Arabidopsis thaliana: one gene and its partner. The protein of the gene in region 1 purifies or fractionates together with the protein of each later gene. This does not show direct contact. Each region holds a gene or a part of one and is shown on either strand. Other genes may lie near its edges. The genes, in order: IDH2 and PHT3;1.

Region 1 (9,972 bases):
AGGTTCTTCGACAATACTTTGCTGGAAGCCTCAAGGATGCAGCCAAGAGCATTGGTGGTAAGAGAATGTTGTACACTGCTGGTGACATAGCCCCATTCTTTATGAATTTTGATTCTTATTGTTTCTTGGGAAAAGCATAACCATTACGTTCATTAGTCAAAACCCAAAACATTCCAAATGAATATGTTGAACAAAAATTCATGCCTCAGGATATGTGAAAACTCCATGGCCAATATACATAAATATCAATGAAACCAGAAGTCAGTCTTACATTATATCTATGTGGTAGTGGATCAATCATCATGCTCTACAAACATTTTCATCATGGCTATTTATCTGTCTCTCAGACAGTGATCTGACAAGGTTTCGTTCTTGTGTTGCAGTTTGTCCAACTACCTTGAAAAGGATATGCAGGCAACATGGAATAATGCGATGGCCCTCCCGAAAAATCAAGAAGGTTGGGCATTCGTTGAAGAAACTCCAACTAGTTATGGACTCTGTCCAAGGTGCGCAGGGCTCTATCCAACTCGATTCATTCTATACAAGCTTCCCAGAGTTGAACTCCCCAAATATGTCTAGCAATGGCCCTTCCTTGAAGAGTAATGAACAGCCAAGTCATTTGAATGCTCAAACCGATAATGGTATTATGGCAGAGGAAAACCCCAGGTCACCATCATCTTCTTGCAGCAAGAGCTCTGGTTCAAGCAACAATAATGAGAATACTGGAAACATTCTAGTTGCTGAGGATGCTGATGCGGTGTTAAAGAGAGCTCATAGCGAAGCACAACTGCATAATGTGAATCAGGAGGAAACAAAATGTCTTGCAAGAACCCAGAGCCATAAAACATTCAAGGAGCCTCTTGTTCTTGATAATTCATCTCCATTAACAGGTAGTAGCAACACGAGTTTAAGAGCTAGAGGTGCCATCAAAGTGAAAGCGACATTTGGTGAGGCCAGAATACGGTTTACCTTACTCCCGAGTTGGGGCTTCGCAGAGCTGAAGCAAGAGATTGCTAGGCGTTTCAACATAGATGACATTTCCTGGTTTGACCTTAAGTACCTGGATGATGATAAGGAGTGGGTTCTTCTGACATGTGAAGCGGATCTCGTGGAATGCATTGACATATATAGATTAACACAGACCCACACAATTAAAATAAGTCTGAACGAAGCTTCTCAAGTCAAGCTAAGTGGTTCTTTTGGCAACACTGGTCTTTCCTGAAAAACATTAAACGAAGTTTTGTAACTGCAAAGCACCAGGAAGATTCTACTGATTTTTTTAGCTTTTGTAGAAATCTCACTTACCTTTTCAGCATGGGAATCCTGTATAAACATATTTCCAGTTCCCTGAACAACATTTTGGAAGTGGCAGTAGTAACTGGTCTCCTGTATTGCCCTAGCAGATTTTTGTATAAAAGAGATGAATTCCATAGACTTGTATTTTATGCATGTACAATCTTATTGTCTGGTTTCTTAAACTCTGCAAGACTGGAACTATGGCGATTGAAAAATTCTGTGTGTTTCGCTTATTTATTTTTGGGACATGTCTGGTTACAGGATACTATCTAGTCCATGATTGCATTGATGTACATGGAAAATAATGTGCCGGGATTCAAGAATATCCATTTCATGATATTGATTATGAGATTAAACATTTAAAACTGATATTGTAAAAACAGGAAAAAATAATCTGTATGGCTATGTTTAAGAAGAAACCTAGTTCCAATTAAGCAGCTAACACTTGGTGGTCTTCCACGTTTTATAAAACTTAGTCTCTTTGTATCCCCACTACAAACTCCTACTGTTCCAGAACCAGAAAATGTGCCGACAGAAAGCACAAGAAAGCTTACATTTTCTCCAATAATGTAGATTGTGTTCCTCCCACCCAAAATTCAAAGTTGGGCTCAAATTCTTTATGAAAGCAGGCAGCTCTTATGTTTAAACGTCGTTCTAACAAGGATATATTTGTCCAGCCATGTCGTCTTGTCTGGTTCTACCAGCTTAGCTACAAAGACAGGAAAACAGAAGGTGAGGGTCCAATTCTAAAATATTTTTCCACTGAACATGAAGGTTATTAAAAATAGATTGGATTCCTCAACATTATCCGTGATACTTTTACCAGAGAGTTATATTTAGCTTCGTTAGAGATCTCTCAACCTTGTACATCACAAGCTACTATAAGGCTAACATCTTACACATGAGCATGGAGACAATGATCAAAAGAGTATGCCACAAGATCATTATTTGATTATAAAATTAAATACTACTGTCCAAAGTAGGAAGAAAATGAAGAAAGTGATGTGAAGTCCTACTCTACGTTACTTTAAATTGATTTTTGATTTAACGAGAATTTTGTTTTTTTGTCCAAAAGATTAGACGTGTCTACATCAGAAGGCTGTTGTATTTCAGACGTGTCTACAACAGTATTCGTTCTTACCTTTACCTGTCATCCTTGATGAGCTGCACCTCAAAAACTTGCTTGCGCCATCTGAACTTTCCCATCAGAAAGAAAACAGAGTCATGCAAATCCTTAACCATCGTCCTCCCAGTAGTCTAAGTAGTCAACTCTTGGAGGCTGAAAGCTTGATATATCCCCTTGACCCCATCCTTTTTTAACTCTTGACAGAGACCTTAACGCAATTCCACTACCGTCATCTCTGCAAAATAGCGATTGATAGAGAAAACATTCATTAGGTTTCCGACAAGACAGTTAAACCGATATTCTTAATGTAAACTCACTTGAAACCAAAGACTCTACTGCCTAATCATATACACGAATGCTTACTCCAAATCTTGGAATCTTTTTCTTTCCTCAAAAAACCAAACTTTAAAAGGAGAAAGCAGAACTACAAAACCTCCAATAAAAGCATCTTAAAATACATATTGAAACGGCGCCTATAACAGGAGAAACAATAAATGATGACAAACCAGAAGGAGAAAGTGTCATCCATACCTGTGTAATATATTCTGCCAGTTGTTTCCACCATTCTTATTATGCTTTTTCTGGTGTATATCCCTTGCATTTGGATCGACTTTGTTTGCTACTTCACCAACTGAAGCCATTTCCATCATCTTATCAGCAAAACTGTTTGCCTCTTTCTTGTTTCCCATCTTACCTAAGCCATCTATCACAGGCATCAATGCTGCAGGGTCAAATCCATATCCTCTGTCTATCATCTTATGCAAAATTCCACTAGCTACTTCTAGTTCATCCTTCTTACATAAGCTCTCAACAAGATCTTTATAAAGAAAAGTCCCCAACTCAAAACCTCTATCTAAAACAGCTTCGAGCAACTCCGTAGCCTTTAGTAGTTGCCCTGCAGCAAGCAACTCATTGAACATCAAGCTGTACAGGCCTTCTTTCTGTCCACAGATACTTACAGCAGTCTCAAAGACTTCTTGGGCCATATCAAAATCAGGGACCTTACAGAACGCTTCAATCAAATATTTGAAGGAAAATACATTTGGGGCTATGTTCTTTTGCATCATTTCATCAAGGAGGTTAGTTGCATCTTCAACTTTTTCTCCCTCACAAAGATACTGGATTGCAGTATTGTAGGTGCATATATTTGGTGAAATGCCCTTTTCTTTCATCTCATCCATCAGTCCATGAATTTCAAAAATCTGGTTTTTTATGCCTAAGCCCAGGATCAGTGAGTTATAAGTCTCTAGGCTCTTATGACAACCTTTCTTCTCCATGTCTTTGAGAACGCGAAATGCAGATGATATTTTCCCCTGTTTGCAGAAATGATGAATGAAAATGTTATATGCGACCGAGTCCGGTTGCAGTTTCTCTCCCATCATCTCGGCAAACAAATTTTTTGCTTCAGCAAACCTTCCAGCTTTGCACAAACCATTAAGTAAAGTTGAATACGTGATCAGGTCAGGCAAACAGTTGTTCTCGATCAAGCTATCATCCACCAGTCCGATATATGAATTGCCTAAGTTACCAAGAGCAGCACTTCCATGCACCCGCATTCCCTTAACTATCTCAATAGCTTTATCTAATTCCCCGCTTCCACAGAGTCCGTCAACGATAATGTTGCAGGTGACAGTGTCTAGTCCATAACCTTTCTCATTCATCTTTCGCAGCAACTCTTCCGCTTCAGATATTCTCCCCATCTTCCAAAGGCTATGTAGCAAAATATTGCAAGTATAAGCATTTGGTAAACAATTATTCCTCATCATCTCCTGCAACAAGCTTTTAGCTGCATCGACTTTCCCAACACTGCAATAACCATGAAGAAGGCAGCCATAAGTTACAGCATCCGGGCAAACACCATTTCTTTTCATCAAACCAACAATAGTTTTTGCATCGGATAGCATGCCCAATTTACACAATCCATCCATCAAGATATTGTAAGAATAAATACTTGGTCCTATTCCCTTATCAGTCATTTGCTTCAGGACTGTTTCAGCCTCTATAAACTTCCCATGTCTGACCAAACCCTGCAGCCAAATATTGTAACTCTGCAAGCTAGCGAGATCATCATTTTCTCTAATCGACTCAAAGAGGGTCTTGGCATCTTCCAGCAACCCTACCTTACAGAAACCTTTCAACATCAAGTTATATGTTATACTATTGGGACGAGGAAGACCCAGATACTCATCTAGCTCCATATCACTGAAAATTCTAGACGCATCCAAAACCTTTCCTTCTTTACAAAGCGCTGATATCCTAGAGTTAAAAGTGACAATATCAGGCACCAAACCTTCCTCCCGCATCTTCTCCACCATCTTTTCAGAATCATCATTCCTACCTTCTCTACAGAAGCTCGAAACAATGGTGTTATAGATAACTTTATTAGGCAAAACCCCAAAACTTTCCATTGCATTCAACAATTCAAGCCCTTTATCAGTCAAACCAGCTTTACAATACCCACGAACCAAAATCCCAAAAGTAAACTCATTTGGCTTACAACCTTTCTCAGGCATTTCGTCGAACAACTCTCGAGCAGCATCAACACAACTTGAATCACACAAAGCACGTATCAAGAGATTAAAAGTATAAGTCTGTGGAGCAATCCCACACAAAACCATATCTTTATACAACCACGAAACGAACTCCACACGTCGTTCCTTTATGCAACTTTCAAGCAACAAATTATACAGATAAACGCTAGGTTTGTTCTCAGGAAACCGCGACCGTACTAACTGAAACTGCGGAAACGCCTTATCAATGTGATTCGATTTCGCGAAGATGGATACAACAGAGAGAAGAGACGAAAGTTTCGTCTTTTGGATTGAAGAAGAGAGTATAAGATTGTGAAGCTCTTGGATTTCTTCGTGCATTTTGGCTCGAACCAGGATACGAGCGATTGTAGGAGTCGCATCTAAAGAAATGCCATGGCTTTCTTCTGAAGGAGAAGAGAATATCCTCTTGAAGATTCTCCATGCTAATCTCGGATTGTTCGTGTTCTTCAACAAAGCCTTCACAAGAGATTGTTCCATAGAACTACTACAGAACTCAAAAATTCAATTTTTCCAAATTGGTCTTATAAGCAAAATACTAAATTACATACGGACTAAAACGTATAATGTTAAGAAATCGAGGACTATTATGTTAATAACAGAACATGGTTTTACCCAATTTGGTCTTAATGTACAATTCAAATTATAAACGGGCTAAACATTAATAACGGTTAAACATTTGGGGCTATTATGTAAACAATAAAAGTTATAGACTAAAAGTAAACGCTTTTCTTGTTCTTTCTTCGTTCCAAAAAGTCGCAACTCTTCTTCATCTTCTTCCTCTGACGATCATTTTCAGAAGAATCTGATTCCGATCAAAATTGCAGAAGAAGATGTCTCGCCAATCGTTTTCTCTACTGAAGAATCTTCGTAGCATCGCTTCCGGTTCCAAAATCCAGACCCGATCCGTGACTTACATGCCCAGACCCGGTGACGGAAAACCAAGACCAGTGACGTTAATCCCCGGAGACGGAGTTGGTCCGTTGGTAACAAACGCGGTTCAACAAGTGATGGAAGCGATGCACGCTCCGGTTTACTTCGAACCGTTCGAAGTTCATGGAGATATGAAGAGTTTACCTGAAGGATTGTTGGAATCGATTAAGAAGAACAAAGTTTGTTTGAAAGGTGGTCTTAAGACTCCCGTCGGTGGTGGTGTGAGCTCTCTCAATGTTAATCTGAGAAAGGAGCTTGATCTCTTTGCTTCTTTGGTCAACTGTTTCAATTTGCCTGGTTTAGCTTCTCGTCATGAGAATGTTGATATTGTTGTGATTAGAGAGAACACTGAAGGTGAATATGCAGGTCTTGAACATGAAGTTGTTCCTGGTGTTGTTGAGAGCCTTAAGGTGCAATTTCTCAGTTTTTGTTGATTGTTTTGGTTACAAATGTGATTTGATTCATAGTGATTTGGTAGTAGATGTGAAAGTTGGAGATGTTCATGTTATATCAAAGATGTCTCTGATGCTAATGTTTTGGTAGGTGATTACAAAGTTCTGTTCAGAGCGTATTGCAAAGTATGCGTTTGAGTATGCCTACTTGAACAACAGGAAGAAAGTTACAGCAGTGCACAAGGCTAATATCATGAAATTGGCTGATGGTTTGTTCTTGGAGTCTTGTCAAGAGGTTGCTAAGAAGTATCCAAGCATTGCTTACAATGAAATCATTGTTGATAATTGTTGTATGCAACTTGTGGCTAGACCAGAGCAATTCGATGTCATGGTAAATGTTTTTCAGCACTTGTTGATGCTTGGGCTAGCTTCCTTCTATTTTGGTTTATTTACTTGTATCTGCTTTGCAGGTGACGCCTAATCTCTATGGTAATCTAGTGGCAAACACTGCTGCTGGTATTGCTGGAGGTACTGGAGTCATGCCTGGAGGTAATAATAAAATTCATTTTACCTTGATCTAATGTACAAGCACTATAGAGAAGTAGATTCTCTTGCTTATGCTATGAAATTTTCTGTAGGAAATGTTGGGGCGGAGTATGCGGTCTTTGAGCAAGGTGCATCAGCGGGAAACGTGGGGAAGGATACAACGGAAGAGCAAAAGAATGCAAACCCTGTGGCTTTGTTGCTGTCATCAGCCATGATGCTTAGACACCTTCAGTTCCCTTCTTTTGCTGACAGGCTTGAAACCGCTGTGAAGCGTGTTATCGCTGAAGGGAATTGTCGGACTGAAGATCTTGGTGGAAACAGTACCACTCAAGAGGTCGTTGACGCTGTCATTGCAAATTTGGATTGACTTGACAATTCCAACTTCGCTTGTGTAAAGCATCAGTCACACGTCGGTATGATTCACGCTTACTGGAAAATACTTCTAGTTCCCACATTCTTTCGAGATAACTCGAATTGGGATTTCAGATTTCGAGAAAAATAACATATGGTTTTTTGTTTTGTTTTTCTTCTTTTTGTTCATGTAATATGCAAAGTGCAAAGTGAAAACTGCCTCAGAGCATTATTTTTTGAATAATGAAAATTATGTTTAACTTCATGTCAAAGTTTTGTATTGTTTAGTTGGTAACAAAATGTGTCAAAAGCTGAAATGTTTCCAATATAAAAATGGTACAAGGACGTGATGCTTCAGGTGAAACAATGTCTTTATTTTAATCCGAACTGTACTTAGATACACACTCATAAACACACAACAAAACATTACTAGAGAAGGCAGAGACAAAGCAGAGCACACTGAATCAACACAATCACGAAATTGAAGCTTGAGCTGAGCGTTGATGCATAGTTATCAGGACCAGCAGAATCTGTTCATATCAGAGAGTAACCAGGTTATTAAGTCACTTAATTACACTACACTATAACCAAATGCGCAGAAACTTGGATCAAACAAACCTGGACAAGCTGGGGAAGCTGTGGTGAAGATGGTTTGGTTGGAGTAACCAGCATAGACGCAATCACGAGGTTGTCTGCAAGAGGCGTTAAGCAAAGCTCCATCACATTGTGAAAATGGTGGGCAGGTTTGCCAGTTCGAAGGCTTAATCTCAGATGATGATTGACAGCTTAAACTGATCACAAGATACAAAACCAAAACCATCAGAATCTAGAAAAAGAAGAAAAAAGAACAAGCTTATCCTATGGGACAAACACAACGAGATTATCAATCACTTAACGTCCAATTCTTCAAAGCGTCACAAGTACACTTGACGCAATTGTTTGCAGTGAAGACGTATGAGTTGTTAGACAGAAGCAGAGGAGCATCCAACGAGTCCTTCCTCACAGAAGAGCTACAAGCTGCAAAATAAAGTTCAAAGTTCATAACTTTTCTTCAAAGCCAATCACCAATTAGTAATAAAAACTCAAACCTAATTAGATTTGGTTTGTCCAATGAAACTACTAAAAGTCAAAGACTTTTCAATCAAATTTTTTCGTTTATTTCATCTAAACCATCATCCAATCCAAACCCATTTAGATATATCCAATAAAACTACTAAAGTCACAAACTTTCAACTCAAAAGATCCAAAATTTCAGGTTTTTAACCTTTGAGAGGGACGTCGAGAGGTTTATCAGCAAGAAGCTGAGAGTCACCAATGATTCCATTGAGCTGAGCCAACGTCGTGTTGTCCGTTCCAAACTGAGCAGCGATCTCACCGAGAGAGCTCCCTAGTTTGACTACATGTGCGTAGTGAACAACATCCTCACCGTTCAATTTATCACAGCTACAAGGCAAAGGGATCCAAAACTTTTGACCGATTTCGATTTTGTTCGGGTCAGGGATTTTGTTAACCTCACTGATCTTCTCGTACGTAACGAGACCACCGAAAATCTCAGTTGCGACGAAAGAGAGTATGTCGTCTTTCTTGATGGTGTATTCGATGTCCCGGTTCGAGACACCGGTTCCATTGGAGCAAGAGCAATGGATTGGGACACGTACGACTTGATTCGGGTTCACGCGTTGGTCACGTGAGGTGTTGAGTGGGAGATTGTTAGCTCCGAGGATCGAGCGGAGGTTCTTGACGGCAAAAAGGGTTTGGATATTGCGCAACGTTGTTGCGTTCTTGCTTGAGTAACCAACGAGAGATTGACACGTCGAGGTTGAGCCACTGCAGTTGAAGTTTCCGGTCATTTGGGCGGAGAGAGTGAGGAAGAAGGAGAGGGAGACAAGGAGACCGAGAAGGGTAAAACAGGAAGTTTCCATTTTCAGGTCGCCGGTGTGTTCTCAGGTTTTTGGTCTTTGGAAATAAAAAGAGTTGTGATTTGTGAAGATGGGGACCAAGAAGAAAGTTGACCGAGAGAGGACTTTTTGAGTTTGACTTTTTGACTTGCTGGAAAATAAATGAGAACAGTCTGGTTTCACATTGTGTTCTGTTCCTTGATTGAAGTGTTGCCATTTGTCACGCCCTAATTGTGGAGAAAAAAGTGTAGTTATATGGATAATTGGATATAATATCACAACTAAATTTTAATTAGCTGTAAACTGCAAGACAATTTATATTTTAAAATTTGTATATATAAAATTTTATAAATTATATTTAGTTATAAAATATTTCTATTTTAGTTTATAATCGTTATTAAGTAAAAATATATCACAAGTCCACATAACAATTGTTAATAAACTGAGAATTTAACCCGTATTGAAACAACATATTAATGATTTCAAAAAATTTATAAATATTGATTCAAACCCGTCCATCATATAACTTTGTTCTGTAATATAACACATCTCATGATTTGTTTTCTAAAAATAGTAGTTTAAAAATTGATGACTATTTATTATATACATAAGTTTGCAAATTGTAAAATTTTCTAAGAAATTTATATTTTATAATATACGATTGTTATTAAGTAACTGTATATCACAGAGAAATTTTTGGTATATACAATCTTATCTTAATTAGGTTGTTTAGATATTTCTAATATTGGTAGTATTAAAAATAATAAAGCGGCAGATTGATGATATTCTAAATTTTATTAATGTTGATTCAAAAATTCATCTCACCATATAACTGTATACCACAATACAATTTGTCCCATGTTATTTATTTTATTTTTATT
Region 2 (10,847 bases), on another chromosome or scaffold:
CGGTCGGATATGACCCTGGTCAAGTAACTGTTGCTTATGCTTTTCAGGAAGGGTATTTTCGGTATCATTTAAAGTGTTTCTTTACTTTCTAAGGGCATCTTCAAGGCTCAACACCATTTTGGTGTTCAAATTACATCATTTTTAGCACTAAAACTTGTGTTTTTTCCGACCATAACACCAAAAATCATACTAAAAAAAATATATACTATTATATTATCTATTTAAAAGATTTCTTTTATTATTTAATAGTTTTGATTAGTATTTATTACTAGTATAGAATTACATAACATTATAAACATAGTATATTGAAATATATATTTAAAAATACATAAAATTGTAACTATTTTGAGTATTTTCATACATAATAATATAAAAATATCATAACTAAATAAACTATTTCAAGAGATATAATATATTAATGTATCCATTCATTTTTATATTTTATATCTATTAATCATTTGTAATTTTATATTTGTTAATTGAATTTTTATTGATATAATAAGTGAATAGTGTTTAGAGTTGTGAATAGTATCACACCAAATTTGATGTAACACTGTAGCATTACACTAAAATGGTGTGAATTTTAGAGTTCCATTGGAGAGCTTTTAGTGCAAAAATTACACTAAAATGGTGTTTTAGAGTCCCATTGGAGTTGGCCTAAGCCTGCTCCTTCAATGCTCACTTTCTCTTCTATACTGAATTTGTTTTTCTTTTTCTTTTTTCTTCTTTTGTTGACAAGAAGAAATTATGAAAATATACTGATGTCAAAATGAAGAAACTAATTTATATCTTAATTCTTGTGAACAAAATAGTATAATTACCATTGACTAATAATTGTAAACCTTATGTCATAAAACCAAATCTTAAATCCTAAAAACTAAGCTTTAAATCTGAATCCCTACTCAACACACTGGTTATTTCTTTATTTCTTTTTGAGCTTGTCTATGTACTCTTTAAATTAAAAGATTATAGGCTTTGGCTCAAATTATGATGTATTGTATCACAACAACAACAACAACAACAACAACAATGGACAAGAATTTGAAATAGTTCCAAGTCTTGACACATTCTTAGCATTAAACTACGCACAGAAGCAGAGTTGAAGGAGAGAGATGGGTGCTCTGTGTTGCACTAAGGATCGGTCTCAAAGAAGGCGGAGTGGAGAGCCCTCACACATTGCTCTGCCTCTTCATCATTCACTATCAATGAGATGTTTACCTGAAACACACACACACACACACACATATCCCCATTCACTATAACCATAAGTAAACCATATTCATTCACTATCATGTAGCAGCGGATTCCATCTAACCTTAGATGCACCCTGCGAGATCATCTGCACATTCACTCCATTGCTTCTAAATACTTGGAACACCTGTTTTGTCATTCATTCCATTCCCACTAAATTAAAACTTCAAAATTCAAAAGAGAACACAAGACATGTTACTCTCACTCACCTTCTCTAATATGAGTGAGGATTTCTGAACATTTCCTATGAGAGAGATGATTGATCTGCGTTGAAGTAGTTTCACAACAGCAATCTTCTCTAGCTCTTCCACCAAATTATCCAGTTCCTGTTCACACCCAGTCCCTTTAACCAATACCACATATGACCCTCACAAAAGAAACAATCTATCAAAGTCAAAGGAGTATTACATTTACTCGCTGAATTAACTCTCTACCCCAGAGCTTTGCTGGATCCAATGTCAATGATATACTAACTTCACTTGTTGCCACAACATCAACCGATATACCTAAATCTTCAAATGTGGTAAACACCTGCACACGAGACAGTGAGTATGCTTCCAGTGAGATATTAAACAAAGTCGAATAAAGATATCATTATCCAATTATATTACCTTGGCAAGGAAACCATATTGGCCAAGCATACGGGTGCTTGCTATGTCCAACATGGTCACATTACGTTTCAGAACAATGCTGGTTAGCACAGCCTACAAGGAATTAAAGGAGGAAAAGGTCATTGATATTTTGATATAAGGAGTTAAAAAAACACATCTGTTTCACGAACCTTACTCATGTCTCTTGATCTGGTGATGACAGTTCCTGGAGCAGTGGGGTTGTACGAGTTCTTAACCCTCACAGGAATGTCGCCATCTCTTGCTGGCCTCATAGACAGTGGATGCAACACCTGCAATGGAAGAGGAATATGCTCAGCCATCTGACAGAAAAGAACTCATCAGCATAGTGCATAGCTAATCTACGAGATTACCTGGGCACCAAAGTAAGCAAGCTCAGCTGCCTCATCGAACGTTAAGTACGGAACAGATTGAGCTCCAGGATATATGTTAGGATCACAAGTCAAAACTCCATCCACATCTTTCCAAACCTATATTAAAAAATCATTGTTTAACAAAATTTCATCTACATGATGCAATCTTGGCCAAAGCCATCAAATACCTGAATTTCCCGCAGTCCTAGCGCTTTCCCAATCGTTGTAGCTGTCAAATCACTGCCACCCCTACCCAGCGTAGTGATAGCACAAGACCTCCATCCCTGCAGAAACACATGCATACGAGAATGAAGTTTTGTTTTCAAAATTGATACAATAAGCAAAACAACTCTTGTGCAGAACCCATTCCAATTTATAGAATAGATGAGAACCCGAGTTGAGCACCACATATTTCTTGATCCACGAGAACAACATAAAAAGTCAGAAAAATATAAACCTTTCCGAGGTAGCCAGTAACAACAGGGACTGCATTTTCCTTGCTCCAGTCGCCAACAAGTGTTTTTGAGACGGCAGGGTATGTTGCTTCAAGTATATCAGCATTAGTAAAGTCGTCTGTGGTGATAAATCCGATCTCAAATGCATCATACTGCCAACAACAAGCAAACAACTCATCAAGTAATGAACTAAACTCATGTTAGAGTACATACTTGTGAGCATTGACACACTCTCAAGTTTCTGTAATCTGTATGATGAATGCAGCAATTATATGCAGGGCCAAGGTTATGCTAGGACCAGAGTGTTATAAAGCAACATACTTGACGCGCTTTGTGGCCAATTTTATTGAGATACGCAGAGAAAAGCCTTGTGGACATGCACTCTCCAAATGAAACCAAGTAGTCCCTTGTGCGTAAGGTTAGCTCTTTCATCATTGATATGCCTTTGAGAAGCTGGTGTAGTCCTTCTAGGTGTTCTACAAATAAATTAACCAGAAAAACGGATTCAGATAAGAAAAACTCAACTGAATGAGCAAAGCAAAATTCTGAAACTACAATAGGAGAACGAGAACCAAGGTACTTACTTTCAATAACCGTTGTTTCCACTCCAAGCTCATGAGCAGTTCTGAACATAGAGAATTTTATTTCCCATGAGAATAAGGCTAAATTTGGACTGTGAACACTAGATAACAATCAAATACACATGAGATAACATTGTTTTCTTTAACCTTAAATGGAGTTCCTTTATAAAGCTCAATTCTTCAATACTTTCTACGTTAGTGACACCGCAAGTAACAGCCTTCTCTCCAGCCTAACAAAAGCGGAAAACCAAGAAAATAATCACTCTACCGATAACAAAAACGTCATAAGGAAGACGTAGAAAAGATTAGTATAGTTGTATTACCTTCAAAAGCTTATTAGTCGTCTTTCCCATTGCTGATAGCACAATGACGGGCCTCTCATCTGGAAAGCTGAGTATAAGATTGGCAACTTCTTTCATCCTCTCTGCTGATTCCACTGATGAACCGCCAAATTTCATTACACATGTCAACTCTTTGCCAGTTCCGCTTGAATCGCACGTCTCAGGCTCTTTTCTTTGAAGCAAATCGACTCTTAGAGCTTCACAACTAACTCTCAAACCTATATTCCTACAAGAATGCTCTACGTCTCTAAAGACAGCACTACTTGAGGGCAACGTAACTGAAAAACATGCCCCCTTTGAAGCAAACTCAAGCCTCTTTGAACTTAAAGCAAGCCCTGGAGTTTTAACTCCGTACAACTGCAATGAAGCCATAAGCTTGCTAAATCTAAGAGACTTGCGTGTTGTGATCTCGACAAATGGTACAGCTGTGCAATGTGGAAACCTGCAACTTTCAAATTCACAGAAAGAATATCAGATCATTATCAAGGGATCTAAATCTATAAATATAATGAATGAGGTAAAATCATGTTAAGAAATGAATTATGAAAAATTTATTGAACCAATTAATACACTGTAAGTTGACTGACTAATTTTCAGTGAAATCAAACAACCAATACTAATAAACAACATCATAAGAGAAGCACTTGTGAAGCATATAAACCAGAAAATGTGTAAACTTGTGCTTCTTCATCACCCCAAATGCAAGAAATGATGAATCATTCGAGAAATTAGAAAAGAAAACAGCAAAACCCAGAGAAACCAAAGTAAATCGAGAAATGTAGACAATTACCTTAACTGGATTTCCGTGAAGAAAAACAGATAAAAATTGGAACTTTCCTTCGGACACAGCTGAAACGACCTGTCGGATTCGCCGGCCAGGCTCCGAAGGAAATAGTACTAATGTTTTTTTTTGGGTTTAAGGAGTGAAAAAGCGGCTTAAGACTCTATTAGAGAAGGAAGAGAACGTGAGACACAAACACTGTTTTGTTTGCCCTTCCCAGAATGGACGGTTCAGATTCAATCTCTGGGTCGAGATACCCTTTCAGCTATTAGTAAGCCACTCTACTAAAATTTGTACTTTGTGTTAATCCATGAAATAATGTTGACATCTTTCTTTTTCTCCTGCATTTTTATTTTTAGATGATAGTACCAAATAAGTGGTTGATGCTGTCAAAATCGTGAGAAAACAAAACTTGGCCCACTCAATCCCAAGAATCAGAAAGAAAATTTTTCATTGATCGATAATTGGATAGGAAAATTGATAACATAAAGAGTACTTGCGACAAAAAAAGAGGAAACACAACAATCCCAAAACTGCCCTTGTTAAAGACCACTTCAAGCATTCTGGTAATGATGGAGTTTATACAGCAAAACTTTTCCGGCAGCGTTCCCCATAGCCATGAAGCCACTTCCGGGGCTGAAGTCTAGGCAGCGAGGGTAATGCATTGTGCTGTTTGGTGGCGGCCAGTTTGAGAAGACGGTTAGGGATGGAACATGGACTAGCTTTACACTGTTTTTGTTCATTGTAGAGACTATAGCTAGAATCTGAGCATCATGGTTGAACTTCATGAAATCTATCTTGGATGTGAGATTGTCCACTGTCTTTATCGGCTTTCTTTTGCCTCCCACAAACTCAGATTTCTTGTAAATGTTTACGATTCCTCTGTCGGTTCCAGAAGCAAACAATGCTCCGTTAAGCGAACTGCAAAGAGAAGTGCCACAAGTGCTGCCTTCATCCACGCCTTTGTATAAGCATTTCATTGTTCTCAGATCCCAGACATAGACTTGCCCGTCACCTCCTGAGCTCAGCAAATGCTTCCCATCTTCACTAAATGCTAAAGACCTAACTGAACCATTCATCTTTAGGGTTCCTATCAGCTCTTTTGTTTTTGTAGACACAAGTAAGATATAACCTTCGTTGCCAACAAAAGCTATGGTGTTAGAGTCTTGTGACACCTCGAAATATTCCAAGCTTTTCTCCTCTCTACCAACCAAAGGGCCAATTTTGTCAAACTTTGCCTTCTCCAAATCAAAGCTGTAAAAGAACTTTCTTCTTCCGGAGACAATGACCTGAGAGCCATTGGGCAAGAAAGCCGCTTTACGAATGGGACAGTCCTCAAGAAAAATGCTCTGGATCTTGGTGTTCCTCTTTCCATCAATCTGGAAAAACCTTAACCGTCGATCCAATCCAGCAGTGAGAAGCAGCTGAGCGTTCTGATGGAAGTGGACAGAGTTTATTGGACCATTTGAAGGATCCGCTGCATTGGCATCCACAAGCTTAGAGTATTCAAGACGACCAGCACACAGCTTGTTACCACGAGACTTCACCACAAGATCTTCATTCGTTCGAAGGATATCATCAACTCCTCCATCCTGAGTATCATCATCATCTGAAGACTCTCCATCAACTATTTGAGAATCTGGCCGAGCCCAATCAGTCCCCGGGTTTAGCTTAGCATGATGAGCCCTCAGCCTTGCAATGTACTCAGACCCAGAGATCAAACCCTCATTCTCCTCTTTCCTTAGCTTCCTTAGACGGTTGACACTAGCTATATCAACGTTTATCTGTTTCTCTTCTTCATCCTCCCAGGCAGCTTCTCCCTTTCTAATTGCCACAACTTGACCATTCTCTTCATCAGAAAGCTCTTCATCATCATCACCATCATCCTCGTAGTCAGGAATCTGCCTCACAGCAGAACGGTCTACATGAAACAAAGCCGAACCATCTTCTTCTTCTTCCTTACCAAACGTAACAGGAGAGTAGAGTGACCCGAATATCAAATTCTCAAGCTTTTTCATTTCAACCAGTTCCGATTCTTCTAGCTTCTGCTTCTCCTTCTCTGTCTTTCTTCTCTTTCCCCTAGTGAGATCATCATCGGACCCAATCTCTTCCTCATCTTCAACATCTTCGTACTGTTTCTTGAGCTCCTCTCTTTTAATACCCTTACTTTTCGGAGCATTCTGAGATAAGCTCATCTTTCAATACCACTAATTCAGAGCTGCATGAAACAAACAACGATAAGATTCGCAAGCTCGTTATCAATCCGTAATTAAGCTCTCATTTCGGGAAGAATTACTACAAAAGCTACTAATTTGACCTAATTCATGCACAAATTTGATTACAATGAAGAAATAACTTACAACGTTGACGAGCAGAGAAACCTTGTAGCCGGTAATTGTCGGCGAGAGAGCTTCTACCCTTCTGGTTGGATTTTTTAGGGTTTTAGAATTTCATTTTCCAACAAAAGATAAACAAATAAAAATTGGAACTTGTCGTTAATACAGCCCTTTAATGGGTCAACGGGTCTTATGTCTCTTGAAAAAGCCCATGGGCCAAGACAGGTAAAATAACAATGTCACTTTCGTAATTATCGCAAAGTATATGCCTTGTTCCATCAGATTCCATTTGCCCAATAAAGCCCGAGTTTCGAGAGTTAATACCTCATTGGTGCTTTTGGTTTTGGCAAAGCGTGAGTGAGATCGGGAATCAAACATCGCCTCCGTCTCTCATTTCAAACGCTATCTCCATCTCCTTCCTCCGCCGCCGCCATGGAATCTCCGAAGAATTCTCTGATCCCGAGCTTCCTCTATTCATCATCTTCATCTCCGAGATCTTTCCTCCTCGACCAGGTGCTCAATTCCAACTCCAACGCTGCATTCGAGAAATCTCCTTCTCCGGCCCCGCGTTCCTCTCCTACGTCGATGATTTCTCGGAAGAATTTCCTTATTGCATCTCCCACCGAGCCAGGGAAGGGGATCGAGATGTATTCACCTGCCTTCTACGCTGCTTGTACCTTTGGTGGAATTCTCAGCTGTGGTCTTACTCACATGACCGTGACTCCTCTCGATCTCGTCAAGTGCAATATGCAGGTATGTAACCTTTAGATCCGTTGTCTTTCGTTTGTTTTCTGAGCTCATGTTTGTGGATCTGTGTTCCTGTGTTGTTTAGGTAGTGAGATCTGTGTTGCTAGATCTGTGATTTGATTTTCTTTATCGCTTTGTTGTTTTCCTGACTATTGGTTTTGTGTTTGATTTCAATATCTGAAGAATTGTTTGATCTCTGATAAACGCATCTTCGTCTATCCATTTCCATGTTATATATGAATCATTCTATTTCAATATACGTTAATATGGTCTGATTTCTGGTTCTTCTTTCGAAATATTGTTACTTGACGTGTTATGTGTTGAATGGTTCACTTGGTCTTGCAAAACTGATATATCTTGTTATCCAGATTGATCCAGCGAAGTACAAGAGCATCTCGTCTGGTTTTGGAATTTTGCTGAAAGAGCAAGGAGTCAAAGGCTTTTTCCGTGGATGGGTTCCTACTCTTTTGGGTTACAGTGCTCAGGGTGCCTGCAAGTTTGGATTCTACGAGTACTTTAAGAAGACTTACTCTGACCTTGCTGGACCTGAGTACACTGCCAAATACAAGACTCTCATCTACCTTGCTGGTTCTGCTTCTGCTGAGATCATTGCCGATATTGCACTTTGCCCATTTGAAGCTGTGAAGGTTCGTGTTCAGACACAGCCTGGATTTGCTAGGGGGATGTCTGATGGATTTCCCAAGTTTATCAAGTCCGAAGGATACGGAGGGTGAGTTTTTCAATACCAATAACATTATCTCCCTTGTTACTGCTAGCCTTTTGGTCTGATTTCTGATTTTTTTGCAGCTTGTATAAGGGTCTTGCTCCACTCTGGGGACGTCAGATTCCTTGTAAGTTCTGGCCTCTATTTTGCAACCTGTTGCACAATCTTTTTTTTTTTTTTTTTTTGTTTATTGATGAAACATATGTAGTTCTTTAAAAGCAAAAGGTGGTGATGATATCTATGAATTTTACAGACACTATGATGAAGTTTGCTTCCTTTGAGACCATTGTTGAGATGATTTACAAGTACGCAATCCCCAACCCAAAGAGTGAGTGCAGCAAAGGTCTGCAACTCGGAGTGAGTTTTGCCGGAGGTTACGTTGCCGGAGTGTTCTGTGCCATCGTTTCTCATCCAGCAGACAATCTAGTGTCATTCCTCAACAACGCTAAGGGAGCAACCGTTGGAGATGTAAGTCACTATGTTTGAATACAATAGCCTAATGCTAGAATGGCTGTGGTTTGGTAGTTGTATACAAGCTATTGATTTCTGTTACGGTAGAAATAATATTTAATGTTTGTAAATGACATGTTGCAGGCGGTGAAGAAGATTGGTATGGTGGGACTGTTCACAAGAGGGCTTCCTCTTAGAATTGTGATGATCGGGACGTTGACTGGAGCACAGTGGGGATTATACGATGCCTTCAAAGTGTTTGTTGGCCTGTAAGTTCCTCTCTCTCTTCACTTACTTTCGTACCTTAATTGTACCTTCAAAATGCAAAACTCTCAATTCTTTTGATTTGGTATTCAGGCCAACCACTGGTGGTGTTGCTCCAGCTCCTGCCATCGCAGCTACTGAAGCCAAAGCCTAAACAATGACGAAAAAGGTTATTAGGAGTTCGATGGGGTAGGATTTTTGTTTGGAAAAATAAGAGAAACCATACGGTGATGAGGAAGAGTGAGTAAGCTCAATTTCTTCCTGATTTGAACTTTATCATTTTTGTTTTTTTTGAAATTTGTGTTCCTGAATTCAGGATAGTGCTCTCTCTCTCTTTACATACTCTCTTCCTATTGTTTCTTGTCCTTTTTTTCTTTGTGTGATGTAATCTTAAAAGATGAGAGGGACACACTCCAAGATAGAGAGAGTGGGCATACACCCACTCACTACTTTTTATTCAGTTTCAGTTGAAATTCTCTTTTGGTTGCTCTATCTATTATTTTACTTTTTTGTTTTAGAGATTATATAAAATCTCGTTTTAAAACATCAAATCATAGATAGATCTTGAATACTAATCATATGTATACGTTTAACCGCTAAGCGCTAACATAAGGAAAATATTATGTAGGCAAATGATTAATAAACATATGATAAAAAAAACAACGTCGCCCACCGTGGGGCTCGAACCCACGACCACAAGGTTAAGAGCCTTGCGCTCTACCAACTGAGCTAGACGGGCTTTGTTGCCCAACTAAGTTACTTAACAGTTTGATCCCAATTAACAGATGTACCCTTGCAATTGGATTCCATTCGTCTAAAGGCTCTAACAACCAACCATCTGTTGTCAAACCAGTAATTTTGAGCGACGACGATTGAGGGACTAAGGACTTGATTGGTTCTCCCTCTACCACCCGCAAACGCTGCGTTTGCGGTTGGTAGCGGTTGTTAGCGATTGACACCAATCATAAAAACCGCTAGATATCGCTTTAAACCGCTCGAAATCGCCAGTTTTCAAAAGCTCCTTTCCGCAAGCGTTTGCGGTTGCGGGCGGTAGCGGTTAGGTTAAAAAGAATAATCTTTTTTTAATTAATTAAAATAATTGTGGCTTCCACCCAAACCCTAATCACTATAATTAAAATAATCTAATCTTTTATATATCTTATTTTTATTAGAAAACCCTAATCAATATATTGTAACTCTATTCTCTCAATTATGGCATCCGATGAAAATCAAAATCAAGAATCAAACATAAGTATCATCTATCCTTTTATTCATTCATTAGCTAGTGTAATTCTTTTACTATTTCATGGCATCGTTGTTTTTATTTTATTTTGTATTGTTTTGAGTTTTTTGATTGAATACATTTTTCGATTTGTTTTCTCGATTAGAAAATCATTTGGCCGGACGAGATGATATATTGTATTTTTGTTTGGTCAAAAAATCAATTTTTCTAATATTATCAGTTTATCATAATATATTGTATTTTTATTTCTTTTAATAGTAATATATTATATTTATTTTGGTTATTTTTATTTAATTACTATCGTACCCGCTGGTTTACCAGTCATAAAATTTTCGCAAACGCATCCATTATCAAACGCTCAACCAGTCGTTCAAAACGCTTGATAACGCAACCGCAACCGCACCCACTGCGTTTAAACCAGTCATGCCCTAAATTAACATAGTGTGAAAGTTGTGCGTGCTTTATTGATTATCTCTTTTAACTCTAGTCTGATTGTTGTATAATCCCGTCTTGAACTCTTGATAAACATGGCAAAAGCTGCACTATTCCAACCCGGAAAAATAAACTTATCACAACTTATTTGACTACTTGGTCTAAAAACAAAGTCAAATTTGTTTAACTTGAAAAAGTTAAGACCCAAACCATCGTTTCTCTTTTTTTTTTTTCATGTAGTATTTTCAATAATTCTTTTT

The links.
Region 2: the proteins of IDH2 (region 1) and PHT3;1 purify together in Arabidopsis thaliana (affinity purification with mass spectrometry, with the first as the bait; one large-scale study listed by BioGRID). This does not show direct contact.

Annotation. Positions count from the first base shown.
Region 1 is NC_003071.7:7,458,299-7,468,270, reverse strand, and holds IDH2 (isocitrate dehydrogenase subunit 2), read left to right. Parts: upstream 1-5,663; 5' UTR 5,664-5,804; coding exon 5,805-6,314; intron 6,315-6,447; coding exon 6,448-6,687; intron 6,688-6,766; coding exon 6,767-6,845; intron 6,846-6,934; coding exon 6,935-7,209; 3' UTR 7,210-7,457; downstream 7,458-9,972. Other genes in the region: AT2G17150 (Plant regulator RWP-RK family protein), read left to right, coding at 1-57, 384-1,222; AT2G17140 (Pentatricopeptide repeat (PPR) superfamily protein), read right to left, coding at 2,531-2,657, 2,954-5,451; LYM2 (lysm domain GPI-anchored protein 2 precursor), read right to left, coding at 7,623-7,723, 7,812-7,984, 8,090-8,210, 8,458-9,115. UniProt on the Arabidopsis thaliana protein: Performs an essential role in the oxidative function of the citric acid cycle.
Region 2 is NC_003076.8:4,529,278-4,540,124, reverse strand, and holds PHT3;1 (phosphate transporter 3;1), read left to right. Parts: upstream 1-7,005; 5' UTR 7,006-7,159; coding exon 7,160-7,480; intron 7,481-7,842; coding exon 7,843-8,204; intron 8,205-8,281; coding exon 8,282-8,325; intron 8,326-8,451; coding exon 8,452-8,666; intron 8,667-8,792; coding exon 8,793-8,917; intron 8,918-9,005; coding exon 9,006-9,066; 3' UTR 9,067-9,482; downstream 9,483-10,847. Other genes in the region: CARAB-AK-LYS (Aspartate kinase family protein), read right to left, coding at 1,132-1,218, 1,316-1,378, 1,461-1,577, 1,660-1,782, 1,863-1,955, 2,033-2,152, 2,234-2,350, 2,422-2,517 and 5 more; AT5G14050 (Transducin/WD40 repeat-like superfamily protein), read right to left, coding at 4,946-6,586. UniProt on the Arabidopsis thaliana protein: Transport of phosphate groups from the cytosol to the mitochondrial matrix. Mediates salt stress tolerance through an ATP-dependent pathway and via modulation of the gibberellin metabolism.